Linked DNA regions of Canis lupus familiaris. The protein of the gene in region 5 interacts with the protein of the main gene of each other region in a biochemical or structural test. Links are inferred from orthologs where the notes say so. Each region holds a gene or a part of one and is shown on either strand. Other genes may lie near its edges.

What was found.
Region 1: of the proteins of KLHL12 (region 5) and SEC31A, one has a biochemical effect on the other in vitro, tested with the Homo sapiens proteins (3 studies listed by BioGRID, with this or other methods). The link is inferred for Canis lupus familiaris from reciprocal best matches to the Homo sapiens genes KLHL12 and SEC31A.
Region 2: the proteins of KLHL12 (region 5) and FBXL17 form a complex in vitro, tested with the Homo sapiens proteins (3 studies listed by BioGRID, with this or other methods). The link is inferred for Canis lupus familiaris from reciprocal best matches to the Homo sapiens genes KLHL12 and FBXL17.
Region 3: the proteins of KLHL12 (region 5) and PDCD6 form a complex in vitro, tested with the Homo sapiens proteins (2 studies listed by BioGRID). The link is inferred for Canis lupus familiaris from reciprocal best matches to the Homo sapiens genes KLHL12 and PDCD6.
Region 4: the proteins of KLHL12 (region 5) and LNPK form a complex in vitro, tested with the Homo sapiens proteins (2 studies listed by BioGRID, with this or other methods). The link is inferred for Canis lupus familiaris from reciprocal best matches to the Homo sapiens genes KLHL12 and LNPK.
Region 6: of the proteins of KLHL12 (region 5) and DRD4, one has a biochemical effect on the other in vitro, tested with the Homo sapiens proteins (2 studies listed by BioGRID, with this or other methods). The link is inferred for Canis lupus familiaris from reciprocal best matches to the Homo sapiens genes KLHL12 and DRD4.

Annotation. Positions count from the first base shown.
Region 1 is NC_049253.1:33,229,402-33,234,312, reverse strand, and holds part of SEC31A (protein transport protein Sec31A), read right to left. Parts: intron 3,607-4,911; coding exon 3,568-3,606; intron 1,983-3,567; coding exon 1,924-1,982; intron 884-1,923; coding exon 620-883; intron 1-619. UniProt on the Homo sapiens protein: Component of the coat protein complex II (COPII) which promotes the formation of transport vesicles from the endoplasmic reticulum (ER).
Region 2 is NC_049224.1:4,092,495-4,096,118, forward strand, and holds part of FBXL17 (F-box/LRR-repeat protein 17), read left to right. Parts: intron 1-1,971; coding exon 1,972-2,112; 3' UTR 2,113-3,624. UniProt on the Homo sapiens protein: Substrate-recognition component of the SCF(FBXL17) E3 ubiquitin ligase complex, a key component of a quality control pathway required to ensure functional dimerization of BTB domain-containing proteins (dimerization quality control, DQC).
Region 3 is NC_049255.1:12,068,692-12,074,222, reverse strand, and holds the start of PDCD6 (programmed cell death protein 6), read left to right. Parts: upstream 1-1,693; 5' UTR 1,694-1,895; coding exon 1,896-1,990; intron 1,991-3,156; coding exon 3,157-3,218; intron 3,219-5,531. UniProt on the Homo sapiens protein: Calcium sensor that plays a key role in processes such as endoplasmic reticulum (ER)-Golgi vesicular transport, endosomal biogenesis or membrane repair.
Region 4 is NC_049257.1:20,133,717-20,139,124, reverse strand, and holds the start of LNPK (endoplasmic reticulum junction formation protein lunapark), read left to right. Parts: upstream 1-2,112; 5' UTR 2,113-2,204; exon of another isoform or gene 2,205-2,322; intron 2,323-2,380; 5' UTR 2,381-2,445; intron 2,446-2,632; exon of another isoform or gene 2,633-2,789; intron 2,790-5,408. UniProt on the Homo sapiens protein: Endoplasmic reticulum (ER)-shaping membrane protein that plays a role in determining ER morphology. Involved in the stabilization of nascent three-way ER tubular junctions within the ER network.
Region 5 is NC_049228.1:389,623-394,533, reverse strand, and holds part of KLHL12 (kelch-like protein 12), read right to left. Parts: intron 1,205-4,911; coding exon 1,051-1,204; intron 14-1,050; coding exon 1-13. UniProt on the Homo sapiens protein: Substrate-specific adapter of a BCR (BTB-CUL3-RBX1) E3 ubiquitin ligase complex that acts as a negative regulator of Wnt signaling pathway and ER-Golgi transport.
Region 6 is NC_049239.1:26,078,674-26,084,317, forward strand, and holds DRD4 (D(4) dopamine receptor), read left to right. Parts: upstream 1-2,329; coding exon 2,330-2,596; intron 2,597-3,817; coding exon 3,818-3,930; intron 3,931-4,046; coding exon 4,047-4,759; intron 4,760-4,830; coding exon 4,831-5,033; downstream 5,034-5,644. UniProt on the Homo sapiens protein: Dopamine receptor responsible for neuronal signaling in the mesolimbic system of the brain, an area of the brain that regulates emotion and complex behavior.

The DNA.
Region 1 (4,911 bases), on a different chromosome or scaffold from region 5:
TAGTTTTACACTCTGGACAAGGATTTGTTTCCTCTTCTTATGTTAACTTTGACCCAAGCTCTTCACTTTTCATGAACAAATCAAAATGTTTATCTTTATATGTCTAAATCAGTTATATGTGATTTTTCATTGTCTAGAACCCTGCCAGCTGACTAGTTGCTTATCTGTGAAAAGCAGGTACAAATTTATAGCTCCACCTGAAGATAGGCTGTATATTACCAGCTCTTACACAAGAAAAAATACAACTCATTACATTTTTATTTTATATTTTAAAGGGAAATACCTTTGAAAATAGCTTCTGTTTAGCAAGCTTGGCTGAAAATACGGAATTCAATTGATCTTAAATTGTGGCTCCTGATTAGGTCAAATGAAATACTGCAACTGTCAAGTTAGTGTGAACATACATAAGCAAATATATGAGCCAAAGTTTATGGCCATGTAAGTGAAAAATAATACCCATGCATGATCAATCTTAAAAGAAGGGTTACTATTTTTTATTTAGGTTGTCTTAATTGAAACCAAATTTAGATGTTCATTAATAAAGGAAGTTAACACATTAAAAAAAAAAAGAACTAAATAGAGCCATCTCTACATTCCACCTTCGCAGATTCACTGTTACCTGTATGGTATTTCCAATAGGAGCCCCTGGGGCACCTTCAATATTGGGCTTGGAGAAAGATGATGGCATGCCTGGTTGACCAAGGGGTTGCTGTATGCCATGGAATGTCTGGCCACCTGCAAGATGTGGCTGTGGAAACGAAGCTTGGCTCGACAGAGGTACGGGAGCTGAAGGCTGTTGCGGCAGCATCTGTGACTGGGGATCACCCAAAGGGTTCATGATTGGTGATGTGATGGGAACAGGAGGCATAAAGTTTTCAGGCATCTTTTAAAAGACAGAAATAAAAGACACTAAGTATAAGAAAAAGAATTATTTCCTCACCTTTAAATAAGGTTTAAAAGTTTTTTAAAAAATAGAATACTTTTTTCAAATGAACTTTTATGCAATTCTAGAGTAAACCTAAAAGCAGAGGCGATCTGGCTAAGAGGGGTGGAGAGCTCAAAAACTGGACTTCTCAGTTTCCTCTTTGTCTTCCACACTTCTTCTCATATGGAGAGCCAAAACATGCTGTTTTGAAAGAGGATGTCAAAGTCTAGAGAATTATATCTAGCAATAGTGAAATCAGATATGCCAAATGTATGTTTGTATTTAATGTGATCAGGATGTAATACCCCTTTTCCTAGATCACTAAGTTGATATTACCTGTCAATTCAATCATATTAAAAGTAGCAGATTAAACTTCTGATTATCACGAACCTAAATTTTAGGGATTTTTGTTCATTTAGTGCCTCCCAATTTTATTGTTATGACCTCTCATTACTATATTTAAGGAAAGACTGCCAGAAGTAAAAAAAGAAAAAAGAAAAGTAGAAATGTTTGAGGAAAGAAGAATCTTAATCTTTTCTTGTGTCCATCAGCTCTCAACAGTTACTGACATTTAAACAGTGTTCAGCTACAAGATTATTTCTTCACTCATACTATATGTGATAGACAAAATAGTCCAAAATATAATTACCAAATTCATGACTATTGCTGGAAACCAAAGACCAAAGTAACCCAAAGAGAAAAAAAAAATCATTGGAAAATTTTGTTTCCTATTCTTTGTAAGAGACTTGTCAGGAATTTACATCTGGTCTTCTAATGGGAGTTAAATTCACACCACCATATTGGTTGTTTTGTTTTGTTTGGTTTTTTCTTTCCTTTCCTTCCCTTCATGGAGAAGATGCAAGCTAAAATACACTCTAAACCTCTCAGTCAGTAAGCTTTGCTTTTAAAAGGATTAGTGAAAAAAGTGATGTGTTCCAGATGGCTATGTGATCAACAGAACATCTGCAGGCAACTGGATGGACATCTTTTTCTAGTACCTTCTTCTTCTTGGGTACTCTGTTCAAAGCTGGAGGATCATTCCAACCATTCTGAGGACCTATAACAGATAATAAAGGGCATTTTCCTTTAGAATTCTGAAAAGAAGAAAACTCAATTATATCCATCTTACATTAAAAATTCTGCCTTAACCCCAAAGATAACTATCACAAAAGTTTTACCAGCTGAGCTCTGGGGATCACCCTGTGGCCCTGGATTCTCAAACTCATTCCTCCAAATATTTACAGGCCTTGGATTAGTAGGCAAGGTAATTTGGTATTATTTCATTTAAAGTGAAAGAACTGTACTAAATTTAGGGATAGTGAAGTCTTTATTAAAGTCTACATTGATGTATAACCTTCAAGATCAGTTAGGAATTTTCTCCTAATAAAGAAAAAATAAATAACTTGAGTCTGCTAAAAAATAAAGAATAAAAAATGCTTTTGCTATATTCAACATACAGAAAAGAATAAAAGTAACAATTTCCTATTTCCCGAGGGAGCAATTCAATATAAGCAAATCATCCATATAGTAGAAACATTGTTAAAAAAAAGTCCCAACTACACTGCAATTTTTATCATATTTGCCTTAGAAATTTATACAATAGAAAGTACTTAAATATCTGTGATACGACTTTTTTAATGCCACAAAACAAATTCCAGGTTGGCAGCAAATACAAAATTAAACTTTAGTCAACTTTAGTAAATTTCCCCTAAAAAACCCCCCAAAACCTTCATTTCAAAATGAAAAACAGACATCAGTAGCAGCATTCATTAAGTACTTTAATGCCAGTATCTTTAAAGAAAACATGCCAGAAATAGGATAGTTTTAAAATCAAAATGTGATCATTTTACATCTCATTGATTTTTGTATGTTTAAAGACAAAAAATTACTCTTCTTACAACAAATTAAACATTCTTTCAGTATTTTACCTTTTACTTGTTTTATTGATATCCATGATATTAAATCACAACAAAATTGCTTAGCAGATCAAAAAACCTGTGATCCATACATAATGCCACAGAAATTTTTTTAAAAAAACAGTATCTTCTAACCACCATACACTCATTTGCCTTACTTTTTTTGAAATTTATTTTATTTTTTTAGTAATCTCAATACCCAACATGTGGCTTAAACTCAAGACTCTGAGATCAAGAGTCACATGTTCTGACTGAGCCAGCCAGGCGTCCTTCATTTGTCTTGATATTAAAAATGGAATTAATTTTCTACAAGTTTACTAGGAGACAGAAAGCCAAATAAGCCTCAAAACACTCAAGAACTAATCACAAAATATTAAACTATATGCTGCTATCTGCTTAAATTCTTAAGGTTCTGGTAATACACAGAAAATCATTCAAATCTCTCTCATCACCTTCTAATCTTACTCCTATTTAAGACAATCTTGATATAGTCATTGTCTTTATGATCATATAAAATAGAAGATCTGAATGATTTGAATCTACTAGGTCACCATGTTAAATCAATCAGCTCTAAGATTTGATTTGATTAGGAAGTCAAATTAAAAAATGATTGATCAGATTTAGAATATCAACTTTGAGTTTCACATGCATTATTGTGAATGTCCATTCATTAACTATATTCAATGATTGCATAATTTCCAAAGACATATTTTATAACCAATTCACCTTCCAACATAGGTGCCTGGTCTTGCATATACTGATTTTCTGTAGACAAAATGTAGAAGTCATTTAAACAGTACTAGCATCAAAAACATTCTAAACTCCTCATTTTGTAATTGCTTCTTCTCCATCAACCCGAAAAAGAACAAATGAATTTTATAAGGAAAAAAAATTTCTTTTTATCAAGTCACAAAAAATACCTAAGAAAATAATCAGTTTTTGGGTAAATTGAATTCATTTAGGTTGTGTCAGATTCAATTAACTCTCAATTAACTCTTAAACATCACTCTTGCTGTGGTACTTGTTTAAGAAAAAATTTTGTTCCTGCCTATTTAAAATAATATTTCCCTGTCTGCATGGATTTTTTTCCCCCTACTATTTGATCAATAATACCACTGGGGGTGTGTGTGTGTGGTGGAGAGCATTTTGTACTACTTAAAGCTGTCAATCAAAATCAACTGAGGATCTTGTTAAAATGCAGATTCTAATTCACCAGGTATAGGGAAAGGCCTGAGATTCTATTGTTCCAGGTAGCTCCCAAGTAATGCCAATGCTTTGCTGGGCAAAGCCCTCTTTTAGTAGGGATTTAAATAACGATGGGAGGCTTTCTACACTGTCCTGCCAGACTTCAGCACTGTACTTATTAAAGAAAAGAATATCAGACAATCTTAGCAAGGTAGTGCCACTTTACTGCCAGATTTGGGAGGCAACTGGGGGCAGCCGCATCCTGATGAAACTGTAATTTTATGGAATTCATGTCAAACTATGAATATGAAGATAAATGACAATAGGCCAGTAAATATGTAACCATTTTATATGGTCTTTTCTGTAAGAATATATGGATTTGCAGACTGTTTAGTACAGGTCTTCCAAAAACCACTTAGGAGAACTGAAGTTTCTGGCAGTGGACAAGAGGAAAAAAGGCTGAAAACTAACACAGCAATGCCAAAATGGTCAGATAATCAGGGTCAGGCCAGGCCCAATCTCAAATCAAAAGTATGCAGTGGAGGTAGATTATATTCACATATCTATAACTACGGAAATTCACCTCTCTTCCCCTAGGGATAGAGGAACCAAAAGAATACAGCAATTAATTACAGAGTCCAATTTAGTTTGAGCTCTATCAAGCAGCACATGCCTCAGAGAAATTGTGAGGTGGGAGAGGTAATCCCTAGCTTGAAATCTGTGTGGAGTTTTGAACAGATGTTTTCTATAAAATATGGCTCCTAATGCAAGCCAACTTCTTCATAAAAGCTTAACTAAAAAAAAAAAAAAAAAAAAAAAAAAAAAAGGCTTACCTAAAGAAAGAAGTGATCAAAGACTTCCTATTTTTTATAAATGATTTTCCAT
Region 2 (3,624 bases), on a different chromosome or scaffold from region 5:
TTAGTCTTTGTGACTAGTATGTTAGTGTATGGCTTTGCTTTGCATTGAGTTCCTGTTTTTTATTTGGTATTTGGTATTTATCATTCATTCACTAATCGCTAGGCCTAACTTATGGATACAAAAATGATTTTGGCTTTGGGAGCCAGACATGGAATGAAGCAATTATAAACTAACTTTCTAGGTGCTATGAAGACCAAGGGGGCAATGTTGAAGGAATAAATGACCTGAAAAAAATAAAATAAATAAAATAAATGACCTGGAAGCCTTACCTAGATTGGGGGGAGGGGGAGCAGGGATAAGGCAGTGATCAAAGTTTCCCGGGGAAATGACATGGAAGCTAAGAACTCAAGAGTGACTAGGAAGTAGGCATAAAGAAAGGGTTTTTAGGAGAAAGTGGATTAAGAAGTATTCCAGGTAAAGAGAATAGCATGTGCAAAGACCCTGAGGCCAGAAGAAACTTGGACAACTTGATAAACTGAAATGAAGTCAGGTGACTGGAGTATCAAAAAACATGCTAGAACGACTGGCAGGGCTAGTTGGTGCGTGACCTTCTAAGTATATTGTTGTAAGCTGCCTCAACTCAAGACTTAGAGCATACATTTAAATTAAAAATAAAAAATAAAAACGCTGCTTAAAAATCATCTTAGGGCCATCAATTCATATTCTCAACTCTAATTTATCAGTTTTTCCTTTTTATTTAAAATTATCTTCTTCTTGTTTTTGAAAACAGCGTTATACATCATATCTGTATCACAAAAACTGATTACCTACATGGTTTGGTTGAAATTGGAATGAAGGTTGATTTAAATATAAGCAAGTCTTGAAGAGAGAGGTGTGCCCACGGATTACCATCAATGCAATGCTGGAATATCAATTCTCATTTTTTAAAAAAGATATTATATATAACATAGTTTTCCAAATCACCCAGAGAACATCATGTCGTTTCAGAAAAGTGCAGATGATGGAATGTCATGGTCATCATCCTTCTTTAACAGGCTTTCAAAGCAAACAGCAAGGGTTTGATGTTGTTTTGGGTTTTTCCTGGCGGCCCTGATCCTTTTCAATAATGGACAGACATGGAGAGGGAGGGAGCACGGAACTGTGTATCATAAGCACCTCCTTTCAGATCAGCTTACTCAGTATAAATGAAATATTGATGTATCTGAAAATGCCCAAGTGTTCAATAAAGATTTTAAATAAAGCTACCTAAAAGTTGTGGTTCTTAGGTTAATCATTTATTTATCTAAAGGATGAAGGAAGCTGTCTGCTTCTGTGATATGAACTGCAATCAGCTTAAAAATAATTGACAAATTAATCCCTTCACAGCACAGCAATTGTAAAGGTGTTAGTTTTAATTAGGCCTGTCTGATTGCCTTGTCTAATCAAGAATCAAGGTGGTATCTTTGATGGTTAAGGTCTATCGGGGCCATCCCTGACCTGCCAGCCACGTATGTTTTAATTATTGATTCCTCACATTTCAGCCCTTTTCACAAAGGGACTTGGAGTTTGCAATACCTTAACATTTAAAGGGAAGAAAAATAAACATTTTCCCCAGCACTCCTAGCTGGAATCCCATGGATCTTCTCTCCCAATCCAGAGTTTTGTCCTTAAAAAAGCTGTCGGGTTGACGATGAAGGCAGAGGCACCTAAGAATGGTGCCTTACTGCCGCCTCCCCTCCCGCACCCCGGCTCTCCCACGGCACCGTGAAGGTCTCCACGAGTCCCTATCGCTCACGCTTCTAGAAAACACGTTCGGTTCCTTGATAGCGTATGTCTTTTTTAAGCATCCCTCCGGGTGAGTGCAGTGCCGAGGCATCGGGAGGGCAGACAGCAAGGACACGTGTCGTGTCGTGTCATGGATGCTGCCTGGCTCTGCCGCGAAGGAAGGGGCGAGGGCTCCTCCCCGGAGTCCAGGGGCGGCTGCCAGGCTCGGTGGGCCTGTGCTTGACGGCGGCTCTTCTGTGCTTGCAGGTCAACGAAGTGACGGTGGAGCAGCTGGTGCAGCAGTACCCCCACATCACCTTCAGCACCGTGCTGCAGGACTGCAAGAGGACCTTGGAGAGGGCCTATCAGATGGGCTGGACCCCCAACATGTCTGCAGCCTCCTCCTAACGCTCCTGCTCCCGGGGGGGGGGGGGTGGTGGGAGATCTGGGGGGCCGAGCCCTTGGAAAGATTTTCCCTGTTCCACGTCTACGGGTGTACCCCAGTGTATATGTGTGTCTTGTTCGCATACCGCATAGCATAAGCGCAATTGCTGTTTGTTCCCAGGTGAGCTGGGTTGGGGTGGTTTTTTGGGTTATTTTGTTTTTTCCTTAAAAATTAAAGATTTTTGAAAGCCACAGACCCTTTGGTTTTTAAACTCAAAGGCTTGTTTCTCTAAAGAAAAAAAATTTTTTTATTTACTGTAAAACCAAAAACCGTGGGCCCTAGTATGTTGATCTTCTAATTGCCGCCTCTTGAAGATGCCCCGAAATGAAGGCATCCATCGGCCTTCTCTTCCGATGGAATAGAATTATGCACTGCTCCTGATGGTGACCAGGCCAGAAGGGATGTTGCACCAATTAGAAACCAGGAAACCAGGCCTTTGCAACATTTCAGGGGCCTACACACGTATAGGTCCTCACACACACACACCCTAACATGCCAGTACCTGTGCCGCATGAGCACAAACGCCAGGGCACTTTCTTTCTAGATCGTTCTCTGACGGAGGGGCCTTCTCCAGGCCACTGAGGAAGCTCGGCACCCAACCCGGGATATGCACAGGTGGCTAACTTGCTGTCTGCAAGTGAGGGAGGGCCTCGAGAACATAAAGCCTTCTGAGAAGTTTTTATATGGAGGCAACGATCTGAGCTCCCCTGGCCAGCTCACACAAGTTAATTATCCATTATTCTGCAAATTTGTTCTGTAGAGTCCTGAATATTTTCGTTAAGGTTTATGTTAATGTTGTATTCGCTCTTGTTTCATGGATTGCAACTGGTCCGGATATATTTTAATGATATTTGGAGCTACCCTTAAGCGTTATCCACATTCAAAGCACCAGTGTAATACTAGTGTGCGGTTATTTAAAAAAAACAAAACAATACCTACAGATCATTTAATTATTTTTGTTGATTTTGGTAATTATGAAAGTTTATTTCTAAGATTTGGAGGTAGTCACATTATTAGAAGATTAATGAGTGAGATATAAGTAGACAATCTTCCTATTGATTTATCTTTCTTTTTTTTTTTTGCTTTGCTTTGGGCTTTAGAACAGGTTTTTTGGATATATGCATGTTAATTTTGAATAGTTCTTGTGCTACTACAGAGATCTATTGCTGGTTAATGTATGAGTTAAGACGAAAAATTAGAAAATCTTTTCATTAAGATTTGTGTTTACACTTGTCGGAAATAAGCATTTCTTTGTTTCAAGATTGCCAGCTTTCAGTTAAGACAATATCTATCAGTAAATGAATATATGTTTTGATTTCACACATCTTTACAATTAATTCATAGTAGGGACTCAGGCTCAAGTAAACTTTCCTGTGTCTCGATTTATAATCAAGACAGCAGGGGAGCCTTTTTAAGCTAAAGAGTGATTATCTTTCACAGTAGAGCTAGATACAAAACCCTGCCCTGTGAGTTTG
Region 3 (5,531 bases), on a different chromosome or scaffold from region 5:
CTCCTCTCCCATCCAGGAGCACCATCTACTTGGAAAGCTTAGAACAGACCTGGTTAAGAGGGAACTGAATCCCAAGATAGGCGAGGGGATAGTGGCAAGTACATTAATACTTTAAGTGATTGAGTCTGTAGAACTAGGCAGGGGCTAGGCTGCATCTTTCTGCTGGCGAGGAGACGGTCTCCCCTGTGGCTGCGCATCTCTGCCATGAGGCCACAGGACTCCAGGCAACACCGTCCCCACCAATGGCAGCAATTCACTGAGAGGACCCCAAGGCTTAGGCCTGCCCTAGCAGTATGGCCCAGGTGCTGTGCCCCACCCGACCTGTTCCATGCAGACAGTTGGAGCCAGTGGCTCATTAGAAATCAGGGCTGAGGGATCCCTGGGTGGCGCAGCGGTTTAGTGCCTGCCTTTGGCCCAGGGCACGATCCTGGAGACCCGGGGATCGAATCCCACGTCGGGCTCCCAGTGCATGGAGCCTGCTTCTCCCTCTGCCTGTGTTTCTGCCCCTCTCTCTCTCTCTGATGACTATCATAAATAAATAAAAATTTATAAAAAAAAAATGAATGTTTAGGAAAAAAAAAAGAAATCAGGGCTGAGGTGAAGGGAGGGACTGCACCAGCCAGTGTCTCTGAAGACGCCTTCTAGAATCATCTGTACCTTAGTGAGTTACATTGTTGGGGGGCAGGGCAGGATTGTCTTTAAGCCTTCGTTTCCTACTACTTAATCTCCCTTTTAAGAGTCAGCCTTGCCCCACAGGATGACTCCGGGAAGCACACGGAGGCCTGGGCTACAGCTCCTTGCCTGTTGACCAGGCCCACCATGGTTTTCTGGTCAGGAATTTGTGTACTTTGCAGCTGATGGCCGTGAGGTGCTGGCCTGAGGACCCCACGAAGTCCCTGAGTCACGAGGGTGCGGTGTGACCCTGTGGGCCCCGCTGGCCACGGGAAAGGAGTGTGGCTTGGCCTTCCAGGGCAGACAGCACACAGCGACACCCGTGACCCGGCCCCGCCCGCCGGGTGGTGTCTTGGAAGTCTCCCCGCGAAGTGCGCGGCAGAATCCTAGCTATCAATTTTGTGCAGTTAGGAGCCCGAGATGGGACACAGACCACAGATGGACTTCAGAAGCTGTGGAAAATTCCAGAAAACATTGCTCAGCGAGTACTTTGTGAGGAGAAACGTAGAAACCATGTGAATTTGCTAAGGCGTGGGAAAACTTCCTGTGGAGGGGGCGGGGGGCGGGGGGTACTTCAGGCGAAGCCAGCGTCACGGGCGATCGCGGGAGGTCGCGGAAGGCCGTGGTACATCAGGGGAGATCCCAGGTCACCGGAGATCCTAGGAGGTCATGGAAGATCACGGGAGCTCCAGGAGATCCCGGAAGGTCACGGGAGATCCCCGTTCCCTCGAGGAATCTGGCGGAGAGAGCCGGGAAGCCGCGGAGCGCTCCTCGGGGCCTCGGCGGGGGCGGGGGCGGGGGCGGGGGCGGGCCGGCCCTGAGGCCCAGCAGGGCCCACCCCCGACGCCGGCAGGGGCGAGGTGCGGGTGACACCGCCCGCCGACGCACGGGGACGCAGAAACACTCCGGAAAAGTGTCTCGTCCCCCTCGGTCACACTCGGTCCCGGGACGTCGTGTGCAAGAATGAAACACGGTCGAGGGGAGCCCCTTCCGCGCGTCCTGTCGGTGCCCCTGCCGGCCGAGCGGCCTCCGCACCAGGGTCCGCGGCCCCGGGCGTCGCCTAGCAACCGGGCCGCCAGGGGCTAGGCTGCGCGGGCGACACCGCCTTCCGGCGTCCCCGGAAGTGGCGTCAGCGCCAGGCCCCGCCCCAGCAGAGGCGGAAGTGGAGCCGCCCGGGTCTCCAGCGTTCCCGGGAGCTCGGCCCAGCGTTGCCGCCTGGGCCCATGGCCGCCTACTCCTACCGCCCGGGGCCCGGGGCTGGCCCGGCCGGGGGCGCGGCGCTGCCGGACCAGAGCTTCTTGTGGAACGTTTTCCAGAGGTGAGGCCCGGCGCCACCCGGGCGCTTACCAGGTTCACCGGCCTCCCCCGGCCTGCTTCCTGGTTTCCTTCCTGGCCTCCCGCCGGCCTCCCTCCTGGCCTCCCTCCTGGCCTCCTTCCTGGCCTACCCCCGGTCTCCTCTGGGCCTCCTCCCTGGCTTCCCTCCGGCCTCCCTCCTGGCCTCCTTCCTGGCCTCCCACCAGCCTTCCCTGGCTTCCCACTGGCTTTCCTCCGGCCTCCCCTGGGCCTCCCCTGGGCTTCCTTCCTGGCTTCCCTCTGGCCTCCTCCCCCGCCCAGCTTCCTTCCAGTTGCCCTCTGGCTTCCCCTCCCCTCCTCTTTCCTGATTCCCTCCAGTCTGTCTGCTCTGGCCTCCTTCCTGGCTCCATTGGGCCTCCCCACTGCCTCCTTCCTGTTTCACTTAGTCTTCCCATCACCCTGGCCTCCTGCCTGGCTCCCTTAGGCCTCTCCCGGGCCTTCTGCACCCCCCCACCCTGCTGCCGCCCTGGGGCTCACCCGTCGCTCTGGGGTGGGGGGGGGCGTCCAGGTGCAGAGCCCCGCCCCCAGATGCCCTGAGGTGCCGCCTACACGCCTACACACACGTCCCCAACAGCCAAGAGCCTGCGGGCTGAGGAGCTTGCTGCTCCTGGAGGTCTCCCGGATGCTTGTTTAGGGTAAACAGAAACACAGGCTGCTTCAATGCTGTTAAGCTGCCTCGGCTGCGAAGGAAGCTGGTACTTGTATCCTGGGTCGTCCTTCCAAGTGAATGAGTGACCGGGACCTGAATGGCCCACAGCCAGGAAAGGACTTGTCTGAGGCAGTGTTTCTGCGGTTTGTGGAAAGGAGAGGAACTGGTGCAGGTGGAATTCAGGCTGGCCAAAGGGAAGCAAAGCAGAAAGGCTTGAGAAGGTGTAAGAGAGAAGAAGTGGTTCAGTGTCTCTGGGGAGAACCGACTTGGACTTTGGCTGGTGGAGCACTTAGGATGAGAGCAGGGGCTCATGCATCTCCTTATTCCCAGCAGAATTTGGGAGACACCCTGGCTGAGTGCAGTGGAAGGGCCATGGGAAGGAGGCCACCAGAGTGAATATAGAATTGACGCAAGAGGTCCACGTGTGTGCTTGCTGTGTTTTGCTTGTCCTGCACTTTTAATCACCGGTCTTGATTTTGTAGGGTTGATAAAGACAGGAGCGGGGTGATATCAGACAACGAGCTTCAGCAAGCACTCTCCAACGGTGAGTAGGACCTGAACTTTGAATCTGACCCATCTTGTTGTAAACAATTTCTTTTTCCAAGTACAGAGGACTTACTAAGGCCTAACTCTTCTTGCTGGCACGTGGTGGAGGTGCTTCTGATTTATTTTGCCAAGTGACGTCCTGCTCCAAGGGTCTTGCTGAGTTCTTGAGAAATGGGGGTTGCAGGGAGGCTTTAGGGAAGGATAGGAAGTGTAGATGCACTTTGAGGTACATTGAAGATCGCTGAGTTTCTCAGGTAGCTGCATCTCTCCAACCTCTCTGGAGAGGATCACAAGGTGCCGGGGCAGCACGGGGAAGTGACTGGGATGTTGGAGGGCTGGCGCTGGCAGCTGGATTGTGGGAAGGTGGTTTTATCGGTGGAGGAATACTAGGCGCTCAGACCGGGATACAGTGTCCTGGCTCTTGTGGTGGTGTGTTGGAGGCTCTCGGTGGAGTCCGGTTCTTGCCGCTTCCAGCATGATTAATCCGTGGAAGTACTGTTTGAGACCCTTTACTTCAGTGAACACCTGGCTATGTATTCTTGTAAAAATCCCTCAGATGCCACTGTCTTCTCTGATTCTTAAGATTTGTAGCTTCTCTTTCCAGAGGTGTGTCATTGAAGGTTTTAAGGGGATTGATTCTAAGACGTTGAGAGACCTACTGTTATTAGTGGGAGGCAGTTTAAAGAATGGTACATATCACTGACTTTTTCCAGCGTTTAACGCGTGGGCCGCGGACATGTATGTATGTTGCTGTGTTCAGGAAACCAAGAAAACTCTTTACTTCAGCTTTGATGACTATGCCTTCTTGTTTCTTCTCTTACTATCATCTTTTCATTTTTTGTGTCTCCAAGGGCTTGAGTTTCACTTGGAGGAGTAGAAGACTGGGTTACTAGAAAGATGTCAAAACAAGCTGGAATCCAGCAGGCTACGTTAGCAGATCTGGCTTAAAACGTTCTAAGTGTTGGGGTGCCTGGGTGGCTGAATCCGTTAAATGTCCGAATTCTGATTTCGGCTGAGGTCACAATCTCAAGCTCGTGAGATCAAGCCCCGTGTCCGACTCCATGCTGGGGTGGAACCTGTCTGGGATTCCCCCGCCCCCTTGCACTGGCCCACTCTCACCCTCTCTCACTCTCTCAAAAAAACAAAACAAAAAAACCCCTTTCTGATTATTGACCAAAACAGATGTCTTCACAGTCATTTGTGAAAGAGTCTAGCCACTACAGTGAGAGTGCTCTCAGGGGTCATTCCTTTTGCGTTCTTTTCCAGTAAGTGAGGACTGACCCAGGACCCATTTGGACATCTTTTTGTCTGTTTGCTTGAAGTTTCGAGAGTGCCATCCAGGTTTGGATTTGTGTGAAACCCCTCAGGGAATGATGGTCACACTCTGCCCTCATTAGCATGATGGTGTCCCTGCAGAGGGCTCCTGCTTAGATTCAAATCCTGGCCCCAGAAGTTCTAGGAATGTGACCTTGGGTAAGGACTTGACCTTTCTGGGTGTGTAGATGGAGGAAATGCGTGCAGAGCGCTTGGTACAGTGCCAGGCACGCAGCAGGGTTCAGTGTTGCCGGCTGAGGGTACAGTAGTAGTATTGTTCCTGGCCAGGGAGCCAGCTCAGGGGATGGTGATGATGATGACAGTTGCCACTGACTGAGCATCCAGTGCATGTAGGCACTGTGCTGAGCACTTAACAAACCAAATCACCCATCGGCATTGTCCTATGAGCCCTGGGGATGTGGTGGCGGGACCTCTTCTGACCTGTAGGTTTAGGCTTCTATGTTTTCACTACATGGTGTCACTGCTGCTTCTATTTCGGCTGCTTATTAAAGAAGATGGGTCTTTACTCTGTCAGTACTTGAACCTGTTTAAAAGAGAGTGTTTATTAACAATTGCCTAGAGGATGTTTGGTTCACCATTGCTAAGATCCTTTGAAATCGGTTAAATCTGGTTAAACTCGACTCTTAAGTGTGGTCAGGACTGTCTCAGTGGCCCTTGTGGAGGTACTTTCATTGAGTTGCCCAGTGGGACTCCCTCAGCTTTTGTTGGAGGCGTGAACTGGCCTCAGAAGCAGGTGGTCACTGTTAACCCAAGAGCAGGCACAGCAGCCTCCACACTGTCTATGGGGCAGGTGCCAGAGAGACAGCCACCCCACTTCTCCCAGGAGCACGGTGCCTCTGGTGTTCCAAGCACCTGTGCTGGTTCTTCTGTCTTGTTTGTGTGTATCTTAGTAACCCTGAATCTTTTTAACCAATTACATTTTCCTCTTCAAATTAGCTGCTAAAAAAAATGAAAGTTAAATTGGTGGCTTGCCCCT
Region 4 (5,408 bases), on a different chromosome or scaffold from region 5:
ACTTGTCTCCATCTCCTTATTCCCAGCCCGATCCATTTGAAATACCACTAAATACCACCTGGGGACCCTAATTGGCTCTATTCATATTCTCACACTACAGTTGGAATGAACTTTTCAAAACACAGATATGATAGTTAAATCCCCTCTCTGCTTCTCAAGAAGATACAGGTTCTCAGTATGGCCAACAATGTCTGGTCTCCAGCGTACTGTGAACTCTGTATGGTCTACGTTCTAGCCACATTGGTCCTCTGTTCCTCAGGCTTGCAGTGTTCCCCTCTGACAAAAGGTCTTTACGCATGATGTTCCCGGTTTCCATTTCTACTTTTTTCAGTATCTCATTTTTCAGGTTTCCATTCCAGTAGGACCTCCTTTAGGGAGATTTCTCTCACCTTTCTGACCAGGTCAGTGAATGACCCTATTGTAAGCTCTCATAGCAACTATTTCTTGCAGCTTTCATTTATTCCTTTGAATAAATGTGGGTTTACTTATTTGTTGAATTAGACCTTTTAGCATTCCTTTGACTAGTTTATTTCCTTTGTCATCTTCTCTGGTGCTTTTCTGATTTCACTTCCTTAGAATCTATCACAGGAGAAATTTAGGATTAGTAGGCAATAATTCTTCAATATTTGGACTCGGCTAAAGCACCACCTTCACTGGCTTTCCCATACCCCTTCTGGCTGCTGTTGCCTTATCCTTCTCCAATCTCTTGAACACTTGCCTTTATCATGGTTATTTACCCTATTATTTTTGTGTGTTTTCTTGAAGGTTTCTCTCACTAGTGTCAGTTACTTTAGGACAGCTGTTTTATTTATCTGTATGTGTACATAGGGTCTTGTCCTCGAGAAATATTTGGTCTTCTCTTACTGTGCCTGACAAACTCTTACCAGGTAGTGGTACAGTGTTACCTTCAGCAATATACGTAATATTTCTAATCAATTTCCTCATTTCTAAAATGATACTTACCTTAAGAAGTTGTTTGGTAAAAAAAAAAAAAAAAAAAAAAAAAAAAAAAAAGAAGTTGTTTGGTTAAAAGAGTTAGTGATTCCATACATCTCACCCTCCAAGTGTCTCCTCTTCCAGAGTAATTATCTATGGAATTTTGTCTCAGGATCAGGTTTTTGGGATGCCTGGCACCTGGCTAGTTCTTGTCTTCTCCCTCCTGTTTTTTTTCCCCTTTACAACAGACCTTGATGGCCCAGTTAAAACTAGAGAACAAAATCAGTAGCAACTGGTAAACATTTCTTTCCTGTTCTCTTAGGAAAATATATTCCTGAGGTGAGGAGATATGTTTTGCATTAACTTCACAGGCCTTTTAAAAATATATACTTCGAAAGAGCAAAGGATGAAAAATGAAATGGTTAAATTTCTGTAATCAAAATAGATGAAATGTTTCTATTCATATTTTCTTCGATAGATTTTTTTTTTTTAAACAAGGCCAAGGGGATTCACAGGGAATTCTGGGATACAGAATTTCAATCTATAAAACTCTTCTATTTTCTACTAGACCCAGAGTGCACAAGTAAACTCTGGTTCCCTTGCCTTCGTCCTTTCAAGCTTACACAGCTGTAACGAAAGATTCTAACAGTGAGGACGATCTCACCTCACAGCGAATCACCTGGTAGCTTCCGGTACCCTATGCTCGGCTTCGTCAAAGTTTCCATGTAGCGCCTTAAAGCAATGACAGACACTCACGGATGCATTATTTTAAAACTCGGATGTAACTAAACAGAATAGAAAAATATCCCGTGAAAAATGTTTGCACAAGCAAGTCACGGAGGTAAGCCACTACCAAAGCTTTTGCTTGCTTTTCACCCCTTCTGCACGGTTACCTCACACGGGTTCACGTTATCTCTGGCTATTTAGACTGGTCACGTGCAGTGGACTAGGAAACGCTTTCAAATCTGAGGTGAACGCAGCCCGTGTGTGTGTGTGTGGGGTCATCCGTGGGCCCGGAGATCAGGACCTGGGAAGGGCGTATTCGCGAGGTGAGAGTTTTAAGAGAGAAAACTCGGCCTCTGTGACCTCCACGGGTTTGAGAACAACATCCTCCGGCGTGTGAAGCTCACCCCCCACGGGTGAGGTCAGCGTCCTGTCATCAAAATGACCCTTTTTGACGTTCAGCAGTGACGAAGGCCTCCGGCACTCAGTCTGCTGGATTTTCTCCACGGGCTCGTGTGGGGAGCGGGCCTTGGCTGCGCTGTGAGGTAGGGTTAAGTTCCTCCGCTGCCGGCCGCGGGAGGCTGACCCTGGGGCTCTTCAGGGCCGAGTCCTTTCCAGACGCAGCCATCTGCACCCTCAACCCCACCCGTCCCTCTCGCGGCGACCTAGCACCCCCCCTCCCCCCCCCCCAAGGGTCAATTTCGGGGTTTTCTTTCTCCAGTGAGAGTTGGCAGAACAGGCTTCAAAAGAACGAGAGGAGGCCGAGGAAAAGAAGTAGCCGTGCCGGTAAGCCTCCCAATCAATGGCAGTCCCGCCCCGCCCCGCCCCGAGATGCGACGACGAGCCCCCTACCGAGCCGCGGAAGCCCCAGGGCCGGCGTCCTCCGCCAACCGCCCGAGCGGCCCGCCCCAACTGCCCGCCCCCGGCGCAGTCACGTGACCGGGGAGCGGCGCGCGCCGGCCGTGGCGCTGATTGGCCGGCGGCGGGAGCGCGGGGTTTGATGGGAAGGAGTTGGCCGGGCCCACCGCTCTGTCAGTGGCGGCTGCCGCCTGCTGCGGAGACGGGCTGCGCGGTGGCGCCGAAGCTGGCAGACGTGGACGCAAGCGCCGGGCTTTGCCCGCTTCCTGCAGGTAAACCGTCGGAGTGAGGGCGGCAGGGAGGGCTCGGCGGAGGGGAAGCGCGCTGAGCCTTCCGCTGGGGCACGGGCTCCCGGGTTCCCCGCCCGCCTCTGCCCGGCGCGCCCGCCCCGGTGCCTGGTGGCCTAGGAGCTCCGCGGAGGTGGCGGGTCCCGGGCTCGCGCCGCGCCGCGCGCCGAGCAGCCTCGCCTCCTGCTGCCTCTGATTTCCCAGGGCCAGGGGCGACCCTGGAGTAACCGGGAGCCCGTTCGGCCACCTCCCCCCTCCACCCCCCGCGTGTCCTCGGGGAGTCCGGGGTGGGGAGGTGGCCGGGTGGAGCAGAGCATCGGCTCTTCGGCCGGCCCGTGTCAAGGCGGGGGGTCAGGAGGTTCGACGCTGAGCTGTCGCTGAGTGTTGTGTGTCCGTCTCTTTTTTTGCCCCCCCTCCGAGTTGTGCGGAGGCGCCACGAATTGGACAGATCGGGAGGACCGAAAACTGTCAGTGTCATGCTGGTCGGCCCAGGCATGTGGGCGTGGATTACGTGCTGCTTGCAGGAGCCTCTCCACCGACGTTGTCCTTGTTTGAGGGAAGGTGGGCGGTGTAAGGGGTGGAGGGAGCGAGGTTGCCGGGGTGACCGAGGCTCGGCCCGGGGGGGAAGAGCAGATCTGAACTGTTATCAATAGTTTTAATTCTTCGGCGTGCCTGGCTTGGCTCTCGGTTTGGAGGAGCCGTGCGACTCTTGGCCTGGGGGTTGTGAGTTCTGGCTGCATTGGATATGGAGATGACTTAAAAGGAAAATAAAAATCTTAAAAAAAAATTAGTTTGATTTTTTAATATTGTGTATGGAGATTGAGAAAGTTGGGATCACTGAACTCAGTTTTGCTGATGGTGCCCTCATGGTAATAAAACTGGTGACTCACTGAGTTTTTTCCATGTTCCGCCTTTTCCCAGTTGGCTTCTGGTTTATGTCAATTGTTTTCTATCTCTCTGGCCTGCGTGTCACCATCAACCTAAGTGACCCTGTTCAGCAGCAGCGTGTGGCAGGCGAGCAAGCTTGGCTTCAGGCATAGGTTCGGACTGGCAGGGAGTGCTCATCCCTTGTTCTCAGCAGCCCCCGTGGTTCCATTTTTGGAGGAAGTTGATCTTAAACACGTTTTTAAAAACAAAAGTGGTGCATTTAAAATCAGAATTTTTTAAAAAAAGATTTTATTTATTTATTCATAGACACACACACACACACAGATAAAATTAGAATTTTGTTTCTGTCACCTAAAATCCGCCCAACACTCTTTATAAGCTTAGTGTTTATATATTATTAACTTGACAAATAATATAAGCAGTTATAGAGCTATCCGCAAGGTATGATTTAATATAGAGATCTTTCTACCGAAATAGTCATTTCTTGGTAGTGTTTAGTTCAGATTGAACATCAGCTTACCATGAAGATCAGCTTTAGCATATAATAAAAGTGCTTTTAGAGGTGTACTTCTTTTCAGTAATTTTATTTTTGAGCAATAAATGTGGTGGTTTGGGATATTTCAAAATTGCCTTTTTGGCTAGAATATTTGAAAGAATTCTGGAGCAAAATCACTTTTAATTTTAAATTGAAGAGTACATTATAGAGCCTCTAAAAGGCCTGCAAGAACATTTTAATGGAAGAGTCTGAAGAATATTTTGTTTTTATTTTTTAATACTAGAGCAAATGAGGGCAATACAATTTCAGTTAAAATACAAATTGTAATTTATTTTTCCAAATTTAAAATTATGAAAATGGGTACTTTCTGAGAAGTTAGGTGTATGAGTAGTATTGTCTGCACTACATGTGCTTTCTGATAATAGTAATAATAATAATGGCTATAATTTATTATGTGCTCACTACTTGTTGGACACTGTGCCAAGTAATATATAATTTCATTTAGTTCATACAGCAGTTCTGTGAAGTGTTAAGTTTTTTCACCACTACATAAATGTGGAAACTGAGGTTAGAGAGTTTAATTTACCCAAGATCACATTGCTGGTATGCAGCAGAGGCATATTTTGATCCAGACCTTTTTTGACTCCATTATTCTATTTTTTTAAAAAGTTTTTATTTTAGAGAGAGAGAGTGGGGTGGAGGAGTGGGTTAGGAGCAGAGGAAGACAGAATCTTAAGCAGACTCCATACTGAGTGGCCCCACAGGGGCTTGATCTCATAACACTGAGATCATGACCTAGCTAAACCAAGAGTCAGATACTCAACTGACTGCACCACTCAGTGCCCCTCTATTATTTTAGTATGACTTGAAATGAGCTGAAAATTTAAGAACGACATGACCCAAGATTTTAAATTCTGACCCCCAAACCTGTGTGTGAATATCAGTCAATAGGAAACATTGAAATAATGTGGTGGGCATTATTATTTATTGAAAACACGGTAGATGCATCCAGCTCTTAAGGTCATGTCAGGTCCCGTTGTAATATCAGAGTGGAAAGACTGTACACATTCATGGAAGAGCTCTTGGGGACAAGCCACTTGAGATTGAGCAATCTGTCCACTCAAGGGCATACACTGATTTATGCTTCAGAGAGAAATGCTAGTTATTTGCTTCCCATATATTTTGCGTGTGTTAGAAGAGATGGACTAGGAAATGGCAAT
Region 5 (4,911 bases):
GCTTGCTTCACACCTAGGACAAACACAGACAATGAACACTTCAGGATACTTGACCAGGTGTGAACTGGTCTACATTCTTGGATCGAAACCCCTTCTCTTCATGGTAACAGAGGAATCCTGGTTCAATACTGAATGATCAGGTTAGAAATTTTACGCTTAAGGAATTCAAATGCAATTTCTGTCTCCTGCGCTATGTGACCCTCAAGCAAGGCCTTTATAACTGTGTCTGATTCAGCTTTAAAATAAGTATAGTAAGACAAATTGTTTCTATGGACACTGGCACAATTAATCCAAAATGCCCATACAACTCTTGGGAATCAAGCTTTTATAAAACCAATCATAATTTGATATAATGTACCTAAGTTTACTCTATATGCAAACTTACTGAAAGACTCCTATGAAGGAAAAGTTAGAGATACTAACACCAATCTTTTATTTCTCTAATTGGAAAGTTCAAAGTACAAACCTAAGTTTTCAATTACGTATTAAAAAAAGAAAATTTTCAACCACGTGTTTAGAAAAACTGAAAATCGCAGAAATATTAGTGCAAGAAAGATGGACTGGGAACAGGAATGTCTAGCCCTGTAAAAACATTATGTACTTTCATTTTTATGTGTCCACTTAAATTTTCAATAGATAATTTACATGATTCAAAAATTAAAAGTACAAAAGGGTTTGCTGTGAATAATCTCCCCACCCTCCCTACCCACCTGGCCCTCTAGTTCCCTTTCATGAAGGCCGTGAATAGTATCAGTTTTCTGTGTTTCCTTGCAGAGTTCTTGTGTACATATACGTAAGAAAATGTGGTTAGCATTCCCTCTTCTATTTTTTAAAAAATGGAAAAGATGTAAATGCTCTCTTCTAAAGAGCCAAATATTCGTATGTGGAGACGTTCTTTTATATTATGACTGAAATCTGATCTTCTGTGCCACAGGCAGTAAACGTGAGCACCCACAGTCTGTCTCCATAACGTCCATAATTAAGTTCATATCGTTATTTTTAAACATCTCCAAGGCTGCCTTGGCAGGTCAGCAATGTTAGCATCCGTACCTTTCAGCTGGAGCAGACAGGCTGCAGGGAGCAGTTCTTGTACATTCTCCACTGTCACATGTACTGTTTCAGTGTACACGAAGTCCAACAGAATTTCCATGGTAGAAGCAGTTAAACCTTGAATATCAACATAAGGTTTCCCCTTCTCTGAAAGCTGAAAATTCAAAGGGTGTGAAATAATGGTGGTTATGATCCCACAAAAGAAAGGCCGAATCTCATATCTAAGAGCTTGAAGGGACATTAATTGAATACACAGCTTTAATAAGTTATGGTCTAATTTGTTGGATTTGTAGAAAGCAAGTATGCCATGTATCTGGTAGCTTTTCAAACTGGGGGCAGCTGTATGCAACCCAAGAGCACACGACGAGGTGACACTGTGGAATATCAATTTTGCCAGTGAATAATTTAAAATGCTGCCTTCATAATAAAACAAGCCTAGAGCTTTTACAGAATAGAATGCAAAAGTTCCACGAAATACTATCAGTGTCCAGGAGCTTTTAAGATAAAACACAAAATTTCAATAAAGTTTCATGCTTGTAGAGGACCCTGTGGCTTACAGCTCCAGACTCTCTAAAACTACTCAGTATTGTTCTATTTGTCTTTAGACTACATTTGGTAATGACAGAAGATGCAGCTCATCTTAAGGGGCCCTTCTACTGTGACACTGTCTAAATATAAGGAACTTGTTTGATACTTTCTCAAAATATTGGATTGACTCTATTGACTCTATTGTTAGTGGCATGTTTAGTCTAGAATATACTCTTGGAGTTATGAATATCGAAGATGCCAGATAATCATAGAAAATTGTTTGAATAAGGGTGGAAATCTTCAGTTTTATAGGACAGGAAGCTATCTGAAAATCGATAACCTTATGAAAATTTTATTACATATTAACCTTAATTAGAAATTCAAATTACAAAACTCCAGTGTACTTTAATTCTGAACTAAATGTCTTTATCATCTTTGATTCCTCCATCAACCCAAAATAATAATCAAAAAGTGTTCTCTACCAAAGCCATTAACAAAATCAATCCCTGACATTAAAAATGTCACTAGTATATTATTTTGGAAAAACTAAAATTTTATTAGCATTGCACATAATAAAAAATATTTACAAACAAAAATATGTAAGTACATTTATTCCAGAAATTTCTTATTCAATAAACCATTCTCAAATAACTTAAATATGAAAATATTTCACTATTAATTCAGAGCAATTTATAGTATTTTACATTTACATCTGCTTTATAATTTTTCTGAGAGTTATTTACTATCTTATTTACTTATTTACTATCATTTCACCCAATTCTCATGGCAACCTGATAAGGACTTAGAGTTCTGATATTATTCACACTTAAGACATAAACGACCTAAGGTTCAAAGAAGTTACGTGACTTAAGCAAGCTCTCTTAACTAGTAAGAGACAGATAAAACTCAGAGGTCCCTCTTGCTTCACTCAAATGATCTTTCAGTTGGACCACATTTGAGGAGCATTTCAGGACTAGGGGGGAACAATGAAACCATCTAGTTCAACTACTTTATTTTAAAGATCAACCCAGTGAAGTTAAATGGTTGCCAGGATTCACAGAGTTCAGCTAAGAGAATTGAGCCTAAGACCCAGGTCTCTGAACCCTCTCCTTTAAATCAACTGCTCCTAAAAATAAAAGACAAAACCATCTGGTATTTTCTTGCCTAATACCAGTTTTTAAAGAAAGACTATAAAATAATCACTGATGAGAAAAAGGAATTCTTTTATAGAACTCCAGATTTCAACGTGCAGAGAGAGTAAAGACAGACTAATTTTCCTCAAGCTGACAAAGAACAGTATGCACAACATATAATTAGTAGTCAGCAGTCCTGATCCATTAGTACTTCATGCTCAGCAGCTGCTGAGAGAACCTTCCTTACCCAGTTAAATGCCAAGTCCTTCTGATGCTCTTGGGCAGATATTCCTTCTGGAGCACAATATGGGACAGGGATGTGTGATGATGTATTACACAAGAGCATTTTAAAATTAGCCTGAATTAGCTGGAATATCTGTCAGGTTTCCATGTTTTTTTCTACCAGCCATGTGACCGAGCATTGGCTCAGAGCATCATAAACTATTTTTTCTTTGAAATTATAGAATATAAAAATCCACATATCAGAGGCTGAGGAAGCAAAGAAGTCAAAATTTCTATAAGGCAAGTAAGATTTGTATGAAGCAATATGGCATATATTCGTAGCTTTTCAAATATGGCATATATTGTTTGGGTTTAGAGTCAGAAAATTTAGGAATAAACCCCATCTCTACCATTTATAAGCCATGTGACCTTAGGCAAGTCATTTAATATCTGAGCCCTTGTTTCTTCTTTTGTAAAATGAAATGGTAACATCTAATCCTAGCATGAAAGAAATACAGCAGTCACTTAACACAGTACCTGGCCCATAAAAAGAAGTTATTGTCATTTTTATGTTACCACCTCTCCTATTCAGATCCAACAGCAACATCTTCACTAAGGAGATGAGATTAACTAAAGAAAACACTGGTGGTTAACAAGATTTGTAACAAGATTTGTAAAAAGGCTCCTGGGTGGCTCAGTCAGTTAAGCCTTGGACTCTTCTTGATTTCAGATCAGGTCAAGATCTCAGGGTTGAGAGACTGAGCCTTGTGTCAGGCTCCCTGCTGGGCATGGAGCCTGCTTAAAATTCTCTCTCTCCTTCCCTCTGTCCCCTCCCCACCCACCCTTCCTAACCACCCCCCACTTTTGTGTGCTCTCTTAAAATTTTTTTTTAAATTACATTAACGTAATGTGATATTTTAGGCATATATATAAGTATATGTACATGATATAATACACACTGGTGTATTCTCACTCAAGCTTAAAAAATTCAAGACAAGGGACCCTTGTTGGTTAAGCATCCAACTCCTGACTCTTGATTTGGGCTCAGGTTATGACCTCAGGGTCCTGAGATCGAGCCCTGTGACGGGCTCCATGCTCAGCAGTCTGTTTCCCTTCTTCCTCTGCCTCTGTCTCTCCCTCTGCTCTTGTGTGGTCTCTCTCTCTAAAATAAATCTTTAACAAAAATTCAAGATAATTGACTTAAAATTTAAAAATCAGACTTGAGATTTTGAAAAAATAGAAAAGTGCAGTGTTCTCTGCTGTTTGGCTTTCTAACAGTACTTCACAATATATTCAACAGCCTCACTCTACAGTGCTCTGTCAATTACTAAACCAATCTTTTTTTAAAAAGATGTATTTATTTATTTGTGGAGCAGGGCAGAGGGAGAGAATCTTCAGACTCCGTGGTGAGTAGGGAGCTGAAGGGGAGCCAGAGGGGAGGAGGGGCTTAATCCCAGGATCCTGAGATCACAACCTGAGCCGGAACCAAGAGCTGGATGCTTAACTGACTGAGCCACTCGGGAGCCCCTAAAGCCTTTCAAGACTTCATTTATTTATTTGAGACACACACACGGAGGGAGGGAGCACAAATACTCGGGTGCTGGGGGGAGGAGAGGGCAGCAGAGACCCCGTGGAGGAGGAGCCCAGAATCAAGACCTGAGCAGAAGGCAGACACCTAACCCACAGAGTCACCACCCAGACACCCCACAGTCTTTAATACCTATAAGCACAACCTTTTATCTTGTCAACCTTTTCTTTATTCCCTTTAACTGCTTATACTCCATAGTCAGCATCTTTTTCCAAGTTGTACTTCACACGCCTACACAGTCATGAAGTCATTAAGTCCTCCTCCCATCTGAAATCTACATGGGTAGAACAAATGTTGATTTTCTTCATCTACTGTTCGGTGGAGTTGGATGAGGACTGCATCTTCTCTCCTCCCCTTCCCTTTATCCCCCTAGTATTCACTTAAAAATAT
Region 6 (5,644 bases), on a different chromosome or scaffold from region 5:
AATGACGTTTCCTTTTCTTTTTTTTGTTTTTTTTAAAGAGTTTATTTATTTGACAGAGAGAGGAAGAGAGAGGGAGCGTGACCAAGGGGCACAGCAGAGGCGGGGGGAGAAGCAGGCAGCCCGACGTGGGACTCGACCCCAGGACCCCGGGATCACGCCCTGGGCGGAGGGCAGACGCCCAACCGACTGGGCCGCCCAGGGATCCCGGAAATGACGTTTCTCCGAAGAACCATTTACCGCCTCTAGAATCCCGAACTCCTAGGCTGCGCGGCCCGTAGGCTGGAGACGATGGACGCGATGTGAGACCTCAGAGGGAGATACGTGCTCACAGATGGGGGGCTCGGTGTCCCCGGGTGTCACTTTGCCCTAAACTCGTTGCACAGATTCAGCGCGATCCAAGTCACATGCCCAGCAGGCGGGTCGTGCCGGAGTCAGGGGCTCCGGGCCAGGCTCACAGACAAGGCACGAGGGCGACCAGGACAGTCCTGTGGGAAGGAGGCTCGGGCCCCAGAGCCTGAGTTCCCACTGGCCGCGAGGCTGCAGGAGTCACGGCTGCGGGTCACTCTGCAAGGACTGACGTTAGACGTGTGGCTCACGGAACACAGGCAAGGGTTAAAAAAAAAGAGCCCCACACAAAGACGATCCAGTGATTTTTGGGGGCAGAAACTGAAAAGTGAGCCAACGGAGACACAGTCTTTTCAACAAACAGTGCTCAGGCGACTGGCCCGCCGGGCAGGGAACGGAAAGCGCCCCGACTCACAGCTTGGGGGGAGGGGGTCGGATCCGCTGTCAAGGAGGAAGTGACAAGGTCCCAGCTGGGAGAAGGCATTTTCACATCACATATGTGACTCCTTCCATCTTAGTACATGGAGGTGAGTCGCCGTGAGTTGTGTTGCCATTTCCCCGATGACAGGGTGTCGAGCTGTCCCTCCCTGCTTACTGGCCCCTGGAGCCCTCCGTCTACTAATGTGCCTCTGCAGGACCTTTGCCTTCGTTAAAAACTGGACTGTCTTTTCTTGATGACTTGATGGAGCTCTTTGTATATTGTGGACCTGCATCCTTTGTCAGAGGTCTACACTGCACACATCCCATCCCGGTCCACACTGCCCGTTCCCGCTTAGTGGTGGCCGACATCTGGGGACAGAGAGGAAACTGCAAGCGGGTCAGAGGCTAGGCTACAGTCACTGCTTGGCATGTAACCCAAGGTCAGGGCACCAGCCCTGCCTTGGGTCTGTCCTGCGAGGGTACCATCCCCTCCCCTGTCCCGCACCGGTCTGCATCACAGGGAAGGAGGCGTTGGATGCACCTCGGAGCTAGATGCCCCTGGACACGCACCTGTCCTGCATCAGACCCGAGGGACTTTGCCCCTTGTGACCCTCATTATGGTATTTTGGGGTCAGAATCCTTGTTTTCTCTTTAAGATTTTATTTATTTATTTGAGAGGGAGCCTTGGGCGCAGAGGGCGATCTCCCGAGAGCACTTGCTTCCATATGCACCCCGGCGGCTCACCGGGGGGTGGCCGGTGTCCCCTGCTGTCTCTGAAGGCTCCTGGGGTCCTGGCAACAGCTCTGCGCTCCCCCCGCCCGCGGCCCCGCTGCCCCCTAGTGCCCAGAGCACGGGGCTACATGCGCGGCGGGTGGGCCCCGACGGGGACAGGCTCCCGCGCCCCGGAGCCACCGAGGCCATGAGGACGCGCTGTCGCAACCGGCTGGAGCGCAGCGTGAGCCCGCGCCGCGGACGGCCACCCCGGCACCTGCCCCACCCGGCCGCGCTGCGCCGCCGCGACGCTGGCCCGGAGCTTCCGCTGCGCCCAGGCCTGCGCGGGGCCCGGGTGTGTGGGCAGGTGGGCGCAGCCCGCTTCGGCTGCCCTCGGGGAGCGGCGACTCGGGGTGCGCGGGGCGGGGCGGGGCTCCCAGAGCGGGCCCCGCGCGCCCTCCTCCGTCTCGCCCAAGGCCCTGCAGTGAGTCGCGGGCGCGGGGGGCCCTGCGGGGTCGGGGCGGCGGAGGGCAGCCCGCCTGGGGCGCACGGGCGAGGCGGGCGGACGCTCAGGCACTGGCGCTGGGGCGCGGGGAGGGCTCCCTCCGGAGGCGTCTCCTGGGCCGCCCCTGAGAAGCGGACGCGCGGCGGGACGGCGTGGACCCGAGCCCGGCCGGGCACCGCCCCCCCCGCGCCCCCCGCGCCCCCGCGCCGCCCCTTCCACCTGCGCGGGGCCCGCGAACTCCCGGACCGGCCGGGGTAGGGGGGGGGCGGGGCGCCCGGGGCGGGGCGGGGGGCGGGGCCAGGGCGCCGTCCCGGGGCTGCGCGCCCGCCTGGCCGCGGGGCGGGGGCCATGGGGAACCGCAGCGCCGGGGACGCCGACGGGCTGCTGGCGGGGCGCGGGCCGGGCGCGGGGACCCCGGGGACCCCGGGCGCGGCGGCGGCGCTGGCGGGGGGCGTGCTGCTCATCGGCGCCGTGCTCGCGGGGAACGCGCTGGTGTGCGCGAGCGTGGCGGCCGAGCGCGCCCTGCAGACGCCCACCAACTACTTCATCGTGAGCCTGGCGGCCGCCGACCTACTCCTCGCCCTGCTCGTGCTGCCCCTGTTCGTCTACTCCGAGGTGAGCCCGCCCCGCGCCCGCCCCGCGCCCCACCCGCGCCCCCTCTCCTTGCCCTGTTCGGCGGCTCCTACCAACGACACGTCCTCGTCCTCCAAGCCGCGCGCTCAGAAACGGGCGACACCGCCAGTCGGGCCGCCCCCCTGCACCGGCGGGGGTTCCATTCCCCGGGGAGCCAGGTGGACGCGCAGACTCGGTCGAGCCACCCCCCGCCCCGGCTGTCCCGGGGGCACAGGGACACACATCACTGCACAAAGCACAGCCAAGCGTGAGCAGGAGCGCGCAGGCGGCCGGGCCCCCGGGAAGCCCACGCGACACGCACTGTGCCCACAGCAGGAGGGGCACGCGGCCCCAGGAGCCGGGGGCAGGGAGCAGGGCGCCCCCCGCGCCTCACAGTGGACCCCAAAGGACGGGGTGGCGTCCCACCCCCGCCGGGAGCCGGGCCCGAAGCCCTGGTGGGACCCCCGCCGCCGGCCCTGCTGCGCTGCTGCCCATTGGGCGGAAGAGCTGCTCAGGGCCGGGAGCGCGCTGGCCAGGCGCTGCGGGAGGGGCTCAGCGCCCTGGGGGGACGCGGCGAGGCGGGCGCCGCCGGGTCACTAGCAGGACAAGGACATGCAGGGCCTGCCCCTCCCCCGAGCCCCGCCGGACGTCACAGCGACGGCCCTTAAGCTCCTAATCGTCCCAAATCAGCGGCAGGGGATTTAGAGGGGGCGGTTGTCTGCTCGTTGCTCTTGGTGGGGGCGCTGGGCACGTGTGTGGCTATGCACCCCCTCACTCATTTATCCTCAGGGCGGTTTTGTGGGTGCTATGGTCACCCTCATTTTACAGATGAGGGCACAAAAGTGAGGACCCGTCGAGTCCGAGCGCAGGGACAGGGCTTAACCAGATAGGCTGACTCTCGCCACCCCGCGGGGGGCACGCGGCGGGGCTCAAGTCCCCGGGCAGGAGGACCGCAGCCCGTGGAGGGGGGGCCGCCTCCAGCACAGCATCACACTGGGGTCCTCCACCGCCTGCACCCCCGCTCCAGGGGCCCTCCCAGGGGGACGGAGGGGCTCTGCTCAGCGCGGTGGCAATGCGGCCAGGCGGGACCCCGGGCCCATTCCGGCCCCCCGGGAAGCTGGGCGTCAGAGCGCGGCCCGGGTCGCGGCGAGCGCTCCTGGGCTGGGGGGCGGCCGCCTGGTCTCGTGCGTGTCGTGCCCCCACCCCGGGCCCCTTGCGGCGCAGGTCCAGGGCGGCGTGTGGCTGTTCAGCCCCGGCCTCTGCGACGCGCTCATGGCGATGGACGTGATGCTGTGCACCGCCTCCATCTTCAACCTGTGCGCCATCAGCGTGGACAGGTGAGCCGCCCCGCGTCGGCCCCGCCCCCCGCCAGGCCCCGCCTCGCGACCCGCCCTCGCCCCGCCCCTCGCCAGGCCCCGCCCCGCGGCCCGCCGCCCTCACTGCGCCCCCGCAGGTTCGTGGCGGTGGCCGTGCCGCTGAGTTACAACCGCCAGGGCGGGGGCGGCCGCCAGCTGCTGCTCATCGGCGCCACGTGGCTGCTGTCGGCGGCGGTGGCGGCGCCCGTGCTGTGCGGCCTCAACGACGCGCGCGGCCGCGACCCCGCCGTGTGCCGCCTGGAGGACCGCGACTACGTGGTCTACTCGTCCGTGTGCTCCTTCTTCCTGCCCTGCCCGCTCATGCTGCTGCTCTACTGGGCCACGTTCCGGGGCCTGCGGCGCTGGGAGGCCGCGCGTCGGGCCAAGCTGCACGGCCGGACACCGCGCAGACCCAGCGGCCCCGGCCCGCCGCCCCCCGACGGCAGCCCCGACGGCACCCCCGGCCCGCCGCCCCCCGACGGCAGCCCCGACGGCACCTCGGACGGCACCCCCGGCCCACCGCCCCCCGACGGCAGCCCCGACGGCACCCCCGGCCCGCCGCCCCCCGACGGCAGCCCTGATGACAACCCCCGCCCGCCGCCCCCTGACAGCAGCCCTGGCCCGCCGCCCCCCGAGGTCACCCCCGATGACACCCCCGACGCCACACCCCGCCCCCTGCCCCCCGCCGCCGACGCCGCCGCGCCCCCCCCCGCCGACCCTGCAGAGCCCCCGCGGCAGCCACGCAAGCGGAGACGCGCCAAGATCACCGGCCGGGAGCGCAAGGCTATGAGGGTGCTGCCCGTGGTGGTCGGTGGGTGCCTGCCCGGGCGGGGGCGGCGGGGGGGGGTGGCCGCGGGACCCGCTCACCGCCCCGCCCCCCAGGCGCCTTCCTGCTGTGCTGGACGCCCTTCTTTGTGGTGCACATCACCCGGGCGCTGTGCCCCGCCTGCCCCGTGCCCCCGCGGCTGGTCAGCGCCGTCACCTGGCTGGGCTACGTCAACAGCGCCCTCAACCCGCTCATCTACACCGTGTTCAACGCCGAGTTCCGTGCCGTCTTCCGCAAGGCCCTTCGCCTCTGCTGCTGAGCGGGGCCCCCGCCCCCCGTCCCCCGCCCCCCACGCCCTCCGCAAGGCCTGGCCAGGCCTGGCCAGGCCTGGGGGGCAGTGTCTCGGCGCCGAGGGGGCGGCTCTGTGCGGCTGATTGAACCAGGTCCTTCCTCAACACCTGCTGGAAGGCTGGGCCTGGGGCGGCCTGGGAGTTCCGGGGGGAACCCAGACCCCCCTTGGGCCCCTCATCCTCCTGCGGAAGCCCAGGGAACAGACCCCGGGAGGCTGGTTCCTTCCCCAGGGTGAGGTGGGGGACTGCCCCAGGCCCTTCGGCCCTCCCACGGAGAAGCTTCCAGAAGCATGCTGGCCGTCCCTGAGAAGGCCAGGACTCAGCTGGAGGGGCTGCCCACAGGCTGGCTGGTGGTGACAGCCAGGACACACCGTGGCTTCCCCACGCCGGTGCTCCTCCCACAGTGGGGCGGGGACACCTGTCCGGTGGGCTCAAGGTAGTGTCCTGGCGCTGCCCCTTCCCTGGGAGGACAGGCTGCACCCGGCTCAGCGCAGCTCCCGCCAGCTTTCCTCTGGCCGTGTGGAAGGAGCAAGGACATGGGGCCGCGGGGCTGGGTGGGTCTATCCAGGCAGCCTCCCCC